Oryzias latipes: one gene and its partners. The protein of the gene in region 1 binds, or shares a complex with, the protein of each later gene. Links are inferred from orthologs where the notes say so. Each region holds a gene or a part of one and is shown on either strand. Other genes may lie near its edges.

Region 1 (3,637 bases):
AAATTTTATTTTTAAAACTCTTGAGGTTTGAGTTGTACTCCTTTTCTTAGGCTTCATCTTTTCATCTTCATCTTCATACCTTTATCGATGGAAAGGATTTTGATGTTAAATGCGATATTAAAGCAAATCTAAAGGTAAAAAGACAACAAATGAAGCAACAAACAGAATGAAGAGATGGAAGATGAGGCTGGAATGTCGTCTGAGATCTGATAAAAGCTTTAAAGTGAAATGCTGGCAGGCAGTTTGTGTGACTGAAATATTAACAAAGCAGGCCAAAATGTAGTCAATTTAAACACGTTTTAAAAGGTGAAAAGCTTTACTCTGTAATCAATTTAAAAACACACAAAAAACTTATTTTAAATATGGCATTACAAGGTAAGTCTACTTCATATTTGTAAATTATCAAATGCTTTAACACAAATTTTTTTTTAAATATGAAAAAGTGAAAGATGTTGATCTGATTTAAAATGATCACGAACGATTGGCGCTCAAAAATATTAAAATTAAACTAGAAAAATAAATGACAATAGAATTGAATCCTTTTTAACATCAGAAATGAAAATATATCTTCTGTATAATTTACAAAAATGCTAAAACATTTTATTTAAAAAGATTAACACTGGATTTACTTTTTAAAATTTGAAAACCAAGATGTTTTGGAAAAATAAATATACTTTGACTTGGGTTCTGATTTCAGACAGAAGATAAAACAAACTGCAGCGCCTGTAAAACTTGTCAAGATGTCAGGGGCAAAAATTAATAAAATAAAAGAAAATGAGAAAATCTGCAGGTGTCCTTTAAAGAATTCTTATAGTAATTTCAGAAAATGTTGCTGTACTCTAATATCAAAATTCTATATTTAAAGACAGTATTTTAAAATTGACATTCCCAAGAAAAAACAATAGTTATTAAAATCATGATTAATCTTTATCAGATTATGTCAATACTCTGACATTAAATGAAGTGTTTATTGTGTTGAAAATATTTATAAATCTGAATTCCTAAAACTTAAAATGCTTAAAGTCTTATTTTATCTTGTAATTTTAAATTAAAAATCGGAGTCGTGAGATTAAAGTCAGAATTCTTAAATGTAAAAACTGCATGCCGTGTGTAATTTCTCAGCTCCTGATTTTAATTTATTTTATTAATTAGTTTTGACTCGCGTACTAGTAGTTCCGCATTTATCTACTTCTTTTGTTCTGACGTATCAGTTAGATTTAAAAATAATATAAAATAAGAAAAAAGGCTTTCTAAATGTTTCGTTAGGCTACTTTTCCAGTAAGAAGTTGTTACTAAACCATCTAAGTAAAATAAATATGGAAATCTTTTTTGCGACACTTTCTTCCGACGTTGCTGTAACTGCTCGAAGAGGATGATGGTTAATGTAGTACATCAGTAGACACGTGTGTTGTCGTGTAGTTAAGCTAGGGAAAATGGCGGGTCTGGAGCTGCTGTCTGATCAAGGATACCGGTTGGATGGAAGAAAAGCTACCGAGCTGCGCAAAGTCCAGGCCCGCATGGGGGTGTTCGCTCAGGCCGACGGTTCCGCGTATCTGGAGCAAGGAAACACCAAAGCTCTGGCGGTGGTTTACGGCCCGCATGAAGTGAGTGGCGCGCGCGCGTGGAGAAGTGACGTAAAAACAACACCACCAGTCTGTTCATGGCAGCCAAAGAAACGGTGCAAACTGCGTTTAATGAAGGATTAAGATATTTCTATGTAATGTGTCAGATTTAAAGGGATATTTTACATTAATGTAATGATTTTAGTATAATACGTTTCCTTCAAAGCATTTTATTGTATCAGTAACACAAAATGTTTACTTATCTGGCTCGGTCACACAGTACTTACTAACAACTGCATTCAAGAGTTTTTGAACTTGTTATGCTATTCTGAGGTAAACTTACTGCTTTTGAATCTTTGACTTGCTGAGAAATCCAAGTTAATTTGAGGATTTGTTGGTTAATTTATTCATTTACCAAAAGTATTCCAAGCCCCAAATATAACAGCCCCTTACCATGACACCATTACCACCATGTTTGACTGTTTGTGCAATGTTTTACACTAGAGTGATGCGAGGCACATCACCCAAAATGTTTCACGGTTATCTTTTCTGTCCTGAAAGTCTTTCCTAAATCTTGTAGAACATCGATATTTCTGATGGAAAACCTGAGATGTTGTTTTTGCTCATCTGTGCCGTTGACCTCAAACTCTCCCATGTCTGGCGTTTTTATTGTCTGGTTTACCTCTGATGATGGATTAAAAAGCTGTTTTACTCAAAGGACAGATGTATGCCGCCCTGTGAAAAATGTCAGACCTTTTTTATGGTTCTCCTATGCTTACTTCCTGTTTCCCATTCAGATTCGAGGTGCTCGTAGTCGGGCTCTTCATGACAGAGCCATTATCAACTGCCAGTACAGCATGGCCACCTTCAGCACGGCGGAGAGGAAGAGGAGACCGCACGGAGACCGCAAGTCCACAGAAATGAGCCTTCACCTCAAGCAAACGTTTGAAGCTGCCGTGCTGACCCAGCTCTACCCACGCTCCCAGATAGACATCTATGTCAAGGTTGGCCTTAGATTTATAGTATACTGCGCTCTACTTCATAGCATCTGTTTTCGTCATTGTTTTAAGAACGTTTTCATCATTCAAGATTCTTCAGTCCGACGGGGGGAACTACAGCGTTTGTGTGAACGCCGCCACACTGGCAGTGATCGACGCAGGGATACCGATGAGGGACTATGTGTGCGCCTGCACAGTGGGCTTCGTGGATGAAACCTCTCTTGCCGATCTTTGCTACGCAGAGGAGAGCGGAGGAGTGAGCTCTCTGGCTTTGGCGCTTCTGCCCCGCGGAGGGCAGATCGCTCTGGTCCAGATGGATGCCAGACTGCATCAGGATCACCTCGACACTCTGATTGAGGCGGCAATGACCGCTTGTAAAGGTGTGAGCAAAGTCCTGGACCAGGTGGTCAGGCAACATCTCCAAGAAGGTTCTACGCTCAGAGAATAATGGTGAAGGAAAGAGTAAACAAATGGTTTCCTGGGATCAACACTTATTTTGTCGTCATTCTTAACATTTTATTAAGTATATTTGTGCATAAAGAATAAATGTGAATGTATATCGTTTCTTTGTATTTGCATTTGTTTTATTAGCTGAAAACTGACCTGTTTTTGATGCAAAAATCAATGTGATCAACTGAAACAGCAACATCAGCATTTTATATATAAACAGATAATAAAGCTTTGTTTTCAGACTGATACAATAAGAACCTTTATTTTAAACCACACATCCGTAAGAGTAAACAATTTGTGAAAAATTAGATAATTCTTATATCCAATTTATTTAGCTGTGTTGATATCTTACAAATTTTCACCAAAACAATACTTTTTATTCCTGAATGAAATGCTCTGTTCATGTGTTTAGTCTTTTTTTTTTAGATTAATTTTCTTTGATTTGTTTTGCAGACAGGCTATTCTGCTTTTGCTTTTGTTTGTTGTAAAAGTAATTTTTATGTCACAATACAATACATGTTTTGTAAGAGTTTCAGTCCGTTGAGGCTGAATAATCTATCATTTTCTTTACCTGCTGAAACAAAATTGGTATTAATGTAACTTACTTTTTAAAGTAACTTTTCTTAC
Region 2 (4,280 bases), on another chromosome or scaffold:
AAAACGATGGCGGACTGTGAGATAATTACACCTTCTTATAGTTACACCTCCCAGATTAAAAGTTAGATCGAATTAGCCAGGAAAATTTGAGCTCCATGCCTGGTTCACTTCTCCTCTCTGTTCTGGACTCGCGGTTGCTAGGCGACGGGACATTCGCAGATGCAACGGCTGGAATAATTCAAACGGTTAGGCTCATCCAAATTCACAGCTGTTCACATCCGGCCTATTGTAGTTAATTAAAGGTAGTTTATTGAAGGAAGCAGCCCTCGAATTTGGACACACCATGAATCTCACTAAAGACCCACTTTGATGAAAGTGGTGTTTATAACGTGTTCTTGTAGTGTTTTCTCATGATTGAAGACATAGAAAAAGAAGATTTAGCTAAAAATTGCATTTCTGAGAATTTTTTTTGTAATTAGGAGCTGACAAAATATGCAGTTGGAAAAACCCTTTTAACACGTTACTACGGCAAGCCAGAAGCTCCCAGCTCTGTACAGATCCACGTACGTCTCTATGTCTCACCGGCAATGCTACCTTGGGTTTGAGAGGGGGCTGTAAGCTAGCCAGAGAGCCTGTAAAAAGATTTATGATGGGGAAGGGGGGCGGGGTTACTCCACACCAAAACTCCCGCCCCACAAGACAACTGCAGCCGCTCTGCAGAAACTATGTCCTAGAAAACGATACAGGTTTTGTGATTTTGCCTAAAAAAACATAATTAAAAAGACCACTGCGATCAAAAGATGATCAGAGTTCACGATGCCGTCGAAAGTAGTTGTGTGAGTTAAGACAAACCAATAGAAACACTTGTTTGTCAGCTTAAAATGTTTCTTTAAAGAGCCTGGAAGCCTAAATGTGGGAATATCTTGCCTCCTGCTCAAAATGACGCCCTATTCCGCTGCGTAAAATGTCGTGATGCGTTCATGGTCGGCAGATTTTGAGTAGGACGTTTATTTGGAGAAAAAAAACAAGCTTGAATTAAAATAATAAAAAATAAATTCCGATCAAGTCTGAAACTGTGATTTCCGATCATGTGATCTCCAATTGATAGTTTGAATAGTGAGTTTATGGTCAGGAGTTGGGGATGAATCAGGAGAAGTGGATTATTACCCTTGTTGGAAGAAGGAGAAGCTGACACTAATGGGCATGTGGTAGATGCTAAGAGGAATGGGATCCCTCTCCTCTGGGCTGTACTGAAACGGGAAAAGCAACAATGTAAACCGACAGATGAGAAAACGCCGCCTCCTGCTGGGGCTGCTCCCTCACCACCGTGACCTCCTCTCCCTGGACGGCTACGTCGGGCCGCCTGAAATGGCACAGAGCGGCGATGGCGGCGATGCTGGAGGCGTCCATCAGGTTCCCGTCGTTGTTCAGCATGTGGACATCCACCCTGATCTGCCACACCTGGGCGAACACACGCGTTTCAGAGGAAAGCAGACGTCGCTTTGCGAGTCGCACAGGTTTGTGGGAATGACCTTTTCTCCGGACACCACGCACAGGGACTCCGTGTCGATGCACTTGGAGTTCCTCAGGCATCTTTCCAACTGTCTGTTCAGCTTCACGGACAGCTCCGACTGTCTGGATGTGGCGAAACAACAAAAAATGAGCCACACAGAGACAATCGAGGCACAAAACTATAAGGTCATGTGATCCAAAACCAACCTTCCCTGCTCGAAAGCTGGCGAGGCCAGAGGTGACAGCTCGATGTTAAAAAACATGATTCCCTCATTCGGGCGGCTCTCCTTTGGTGCAACCAGCTCACAAGATACCTGGGCCATGACCCTGAAAACACAAAGCTCCGATGACTGAGCGACATCAAACGCACCACGTCCGGTTTTCCCCACAAAGAGAACCTGGGGCTCACCTGGTTTGTCCCAAATCCACAAAGCAGCAGCCGTAGTCCGTCCCAAAGCTGATCTTGATCTTTCTGTAGTCGTAGGTCTGCCGTCCGTCCAGACGCTGCACGGAAAAAAAGACAACGTGATAGTTTTCCCTTAAACTCTTCCCATCTCACTTTTTCTATTCAGTCACCAGCAGAGAGTGAAGCAGTTAGGCTGGATATGAATATATTAAAAAAAACACAGAAATATATTTTTCTCACATTATAATATCCAGATTGTCACTAAGACGAGCAGCATACGGAACCTTGCAGTGATCAAGGCCACAGAAGTACAAAAATTAATCAATTAAATGCACAGTTTTTGTATTAAAATCAGTAAATCAATCATTGATGCTGCAAAAGTCGCATTTTTCCCTCTTCTCTTGAAGATTTCTAAATTAAACCACCTTCCCGGAGTTTTACCGAACTGTTAAACAACTACGCTTTTAATAAAATGTTGTTGTACACAGTAGTCATCAGGGAACTGTTACCGAGGAACGAAAACAAACCTTTTTCTCCTCGATGGCTTTCAGTATAAAGTCCCGCTCGCAGGCGGACAGCGGTGTTTCTTTCATCGTGTGGATTTCAGGCTGTTTGGAGTTATTTTGAAATGATTAGATTCTTTGAAAACCACGCGGGCACGTTTATGTTTATCCGGTTCTAGGCGCGCATGCGCAGCTGTGTACGTTTTACGACAGTAAAGGCTCGAATATGGTTTGAGTCCAATGCTGGATTAAACATGGTTTTAATGTTAAAAATTATCTTAATTTTGAATTGTAGCATTTTATTTATGGTTTCGTACAAATTCATATTATTTCAAACTAAATAGATGGAAACAGAAGACGCCAGCATCAAATACACAGCAGGTTGAATCAACCAATTATTTGTTTTCACATTAAAGGCAACAATTATTTCAGTACAAGAAATAATTTTGTATTATTTTACAAACCCAAAAATATATCCTTATAATTTATATAAAATATCTGCATTTCCTGCGGTCAGACGAGTGTAAAAAGTGTTTACGACAGTTGCGATCGGTGCTGCGTTGGGGTCAACTTGGAAATTACATTGTTCAAGTTTTTGTCTTCTGCAATATAATTGGTTTTGTATTTTAACTTGACAATTTTTTAAGAATACATTTAATACACGTGCTTAATTAACTGCATAAAAATACTAAAAGAAATGATAAATGTGTATACAAAGAATTTCAATCCCTTGATCTTTGCAAATTCTATTTGGCTGTCAAATTTATTTAATATTAAACATTGAATAAATGTTTGCTGTTTGTTTAGTTTGTCTTAACATAAACATAAGAAATGTAAAGGGGAACTTCTTTTAAGCTCAAGCCATTTTCCCCCAATTAAAGTCCTGTAGACTTGAATTCTAAATACATGTTTTTCTTTTTCTTCCTCTATGAATATAACCTTTGACTAACAATGCATTCAATTTTCTGTATTTACAAATATATACAACCAAAGCTGTGTTCTGTTTATTAAAGAATAAATTATTTTTTATGTATTGTTAAATCAAATATTAACCAATCACACCACATTTTCCTTATATGGCAATTAAAAATAGCCAGTAGTACATCTTAAAAGCTTTTTATGTTCATCGGTCTGAAAAAAAAGGAAACAGATGTGAACAAATCCTTGATGATGTTATTTAAAAAAATTATAACAAGCATGCATAAAAACAAATGAGCGAATGACAGCTTGGGTTCGGATTTTTGGCTTGAGCATTTGAACGCATCAGTCGTGCTTCCCCTTCTGTGTCTACTGCGCACGTCCAGTACCGTTATACGGGCTAACTGTCACTCACGGTCCATCCATCCAGCCGTGTTTCCCCTCCGTTTCTCAAGGGAGACTCCGCTCTTCAACCTCAGATCACTCTTGTGCCCTTCTCCGTAGGGCAGAACACAACAACAACCATTTTCAAATATAATAACGAGCTGCAAGAGAGGACGTAAGGACGGTTTGTGTGCGCACGCTCATTCACTCCACTCCATTCATCATGGGCGCGCGCGCGCGCGCAACGTTGTGGCTAGCAAGCTAGCGTTTGTTTTTCATTCATTCGTGGTCTTCAGATAAAACGTTTTATCTTTTCTGTTGTATCACGTTAAATGTCTGCTGCCTCTTGTTTTGCGTCAGCGCGTGCTTACATCCGTCTTCCGCGCGTGTTCGGGTGTCAGCGAAGCTCGTGTTGCGCTAACTTGTGGCGGTCCTGCTGTGTTAGCTGTAGCCCGCGGAGCAGGTGCTGCGGCCGGGGCAGTTCAGGGACAGTCTGGGCTCTGCGCTGCTCCCCGGCAGCCATGTTTTAGCTCCTCCACCGAGCCCTAACCGTTATTTTTGTTTATATAAAACACCAGCAAAGCTGTCACTGCCTAGGAAATTCAAAACAGAGGAAG
Region 3 (3,008 bases), on another chromosome or scaffold:
TCCGTGTTTCGAGTGTGAGGCCGACAACTACCTGTTGGTCGTGTTAGTGTTGTGGGGAGTTTTGTTGAGTTGCTAGTTTTGAGTAAATAGGAGCAGATTTCGGGTAAAAGAAAGGAGTTTGGTGTTTCAACGCGTGACAAAGACATCACAACATTGTTGTGTATACCCGTGTGCGAATTTGTCAAAGTACAACAGTACTAATATAAGCTTTCATAGCTTTCCAGTATATGTGTCGGTGAGAGCCGAATGATGGTGAACACGGCGGGAGGACTTCACCCCAAACAAGACGAGTCGTGTTTCGTATTTGCAGCAATCGGAAAGAAAATACGTCATGTAAACACACCGTTCGGAATACTTTGCCCCGGTCAGACTCGTTTGGATCAAAATTTCTTTCCGATCGAGATAGCTGGGTATACCGATCGTTGTTCATGTAAACGGTCATTCCGATCGTGTGTCACTGCTGCTCTGGGTTACGTCATGCATTGACGGTGTTTCGCTGAGAGAAAGCTTTGGAGCTCATACGGGACCGACCAGCGGCTCTGCGGACGCCCCGCGTAAAGCGCCGCTCCGCTCTCGCCCCGCTGGGTCTCCCCTCTCTTTCACCCCTCACGAGGGAGATGCGGGGGGGGGGGGGGGGGGTGCGTGTCCACTGACGTCTGAAACCCAGCATCCGAGCTCTGCGTTCGGGCTCCGGAGCCAGTGGACCGAATGAACCTCTGACTGAGCAGATCAGCTGGATTTATTAATGTGTTTGAGGGGAGGGTGCTTTGTTACGTGTGCGTTTTGTTATGTGTGAGAATTCGGACTGCGAGCCGAGCCGCCGCTCTGGGTTAGCGGCTGCCGGACTCGCGAGGACAGAGCAGAGCTCGAGCGGCCAGCTTACACAGCCGTCACGGGGCAGTGTGTGAGCTTTACAGAGCAGAAATGCCGCTCAGTCCTTAGAAACTGTTCAAAAAATCACGACACATGGAATCGTGTTTCTAATTGTGCCCCGACAAATAAAGGCTGATGTTGTTAGCCCGTGTTGTTAGCCTATCCTAACACTGGGTTGTTCTTCAGTTCTGTTCTTCTTCCACAAAAAAAAAAAAAGCACTGACCACAAGGATTAAATATAAAATGATGATCGAACAGGCACTTCATAATATTCATAAAATTAATAAAAGCACGTTTGGAAGATCGCCTCGTATATTACCGAGCTGCTGCATAAATATGTGACAGCACAGGTTTGTTTACAACGGGACACATTTCCTTTCGGTATTTTGTACACTATATTTTTCGACACGATATTTTGCCCATGTAACCACGCACTGGTCGACAATCCTATAGATGTCGTTCACGTCGATTTTCGGGAGACCTTGTAGAAAACGGGTGAAATATGCCATCTTTCGCAATCAAAATCTGCCGTGTCGCTGCTATAGAAGTCGCAAGCCGGAAATGGTCGGCCTCACACTCAAGGCGGCGGAAGTAGAACTCCTTACTTTCGTGCACGGAGCCTATTCCATCCGTCTATGTCACTCTTGACGCAGGCCAAGGTTCTCTTCTCGGTCACGTGATAGGATCCCGCTAAAATAAAACCCAGGAGCTGGCAAAATTAGTAAAAAACAAACGTCTTTGGAAAGTGTGAAAAGGGGAAAAACGCCCAGCCAGGAGACAGAAGAGGAGCCTTTGCACCAGGAGTGTAGGAAGGGGAGAAGATGATGACACCTGAGTGACGTCCGTGTCAAAATGAAAGCACGGATTCTTCTTGTCATGCCTGCGCTTTAACTTCAGTGTAGCGTTGCTACAATAATTGTCGGCCACATCATATAGACCGGCCCGTGAAAACTTTGTATGACGTCATACCGGTCCGCGGCGTTAAAAAGGTTAGAGTTTATGTCAGCACAAACATAAAAAACTGAAACCAACGCAAAGCACACAAATGCCAAGACAAAATCAAACTGACAAACTCACACACCAACACATCCTAACACAAATGCTAACACACATTCACACACATCCATGCTAGAACAAACTCGCATGTTAACACACATACACACCAACATAAATCCTCATACAAATGCTAATAAATACGGGTGCATATAAATAACCCTTCTGTTATCTTGTGGGGTCCAGATGACACGCTATTCACGCACACACGCCAACTCTACCTCACACACACAAACTTGCACACATATGCGCTGACCCAAACACACACAGACATGGCTTTTCTTCCACATATGAGGGCAGGCGAGGACAGAGGATGACATAAATTCTATTTTGTAATATTTCGAACTCCCGTCTGACCCGGTGGTTGAACACCGCCGTCCCGTCACAGCAGGGTGACCGTGCGCTCACCTGCGTCGCTGTGCGCCACCACCACTCCGAGCTCGTTCTCTGCAGTGGTCAGCAGGTAGTTGGACTGAACGTCTCCCAGAGAAATCTAGCGTCAGGTTAAGGTCTGCCATGCCAGCTTCTGAGCTTTGTGCGCGGAGCATCAAGAAATATGAAGGATACCACTTTGGCCAGAACAATGTCCCCAGGTCTAAAGCTTCTGTGCATCTCCACCTAAACAAAGCTCAACGTCAGACCAGCAAGGACGGACGGCGCCGGGCCAAACGGATCTCGCTCACCTTATCTTTCTCTGTGGCGCGAACGTCTTCTTTCCTGAACACACAGAAGAGCGTCAGACAGCACTAAAACAGCCACATCTGCTGCGTCCACTCTGCCTCACCTGATGGTTCCTCTGAACAGGTCCTTGAGCGGCGTGGAGCCCACATACAGGATGTGCACTTTGGCGAACCTGGAATTGATGCTCGTCACCTGTAACATGAAGGATCTGACAATTAAAATGTGTGCTTGATGTACTCACATATTCAGACTAGAAGCTTCTGGGATTCAAACAACTTTCTCTGGCAGGGAGAAGTCCAGCATCTGTCCCACAAAACCTAACCAACTATGTGGAAAACATCATCTTATCTGCAATTTGGTGTCAGCTAAAGCTTTGGAAAAACCTTTGATTACATAAGTGC

The links.
Region 2: exosc4 (region 1) and exosc9 share a complex: the UniProt entries of both Homo sapiens proteins name them as parts of the RNA exosome core complex. The link is inferred for Oryzias latipes from reciprocal best matches to the Homo sapiens genes EXOSC4 and EXOSC9.
Region 3: exosc4 (region 1) and exosc1 share a complex: the UniProt entries of both Homo sapiens proteins name them as parts of the RNA exosome core complex. The link is inferred for Oryzias latipes from reciprocal best matches to the Homo sapiens genes EXOSC4 and EXOSC1.

The regions. Positions count from the first base shown.
Region 1 is NC_019875.2:26,759,975-26,763,611, reverse strand, and holds exosc4 (exosome complex component RRP41), read left to right. Parts: upstream 1-1,369; 5' UTR 1,370-1,433; coding exon 1,434-1,604; intron 1,605-2,359; coding exon 2,360-2,566; intron 2,567-2,651; coding exon 2,652-3,008; 3' UTR 3,009-3,124; downstream 3,125-3,637. UniProt on the Homo sapiens protein: Non-catalytic component of the RNA exosome complex which has 3'->5' exoribonuclease activity and participates in a multitude of cellular RNA processing and degradation events.
Region 2 is NC_019859.2:5,412,097-5,416,376, forward strand, and holds the start of exosc9 (exosome complex component RRP45), read right to left. Parts: upstream 2,894-4,280; 5' UTR 2,452-2,893; coding exon 2,386-2,451; intron 1,957-2,385; coding exon 1,862-1,956; intron 1,780-1,861; coding exon 1,660-1,779; intron 1,576-1,659; coding exon 1,473-1,575; intron 1,402-1,472; coding exon 1,264-1,401; intron 1,191-1,263; coding exon 1,108-1,190; intron 1-1,107. UniProt on the Homo sapiens protein: Non-catalytic component of the RNA exosome complex which has 3'->5' exoribonuclease activity and participates in a multitude of cellular RNA processing and degradation events.
Region 3 is NC_019859.2:28,382,465-28,385,472, reverse strand, and holds part of exosc1 (exosome complex component CSL4), read right to left. Parts: intron 2,800-3,008; coding exon 2,711-2,799; intron 2,644-2,710; coding exon 2,610-2,643; intron 2,545-2,609; coding exon 2,494-2,544; intron 2,420-2,493; coding exon 2,335-2,419; intron 1-2,334. UniProt on the Homo sapiens protein: Non-catalytic component of the RNA exosome complex which has 3'->5' exoribonuclease activity and participates in a multitude of cellular RNA processing and degradation events.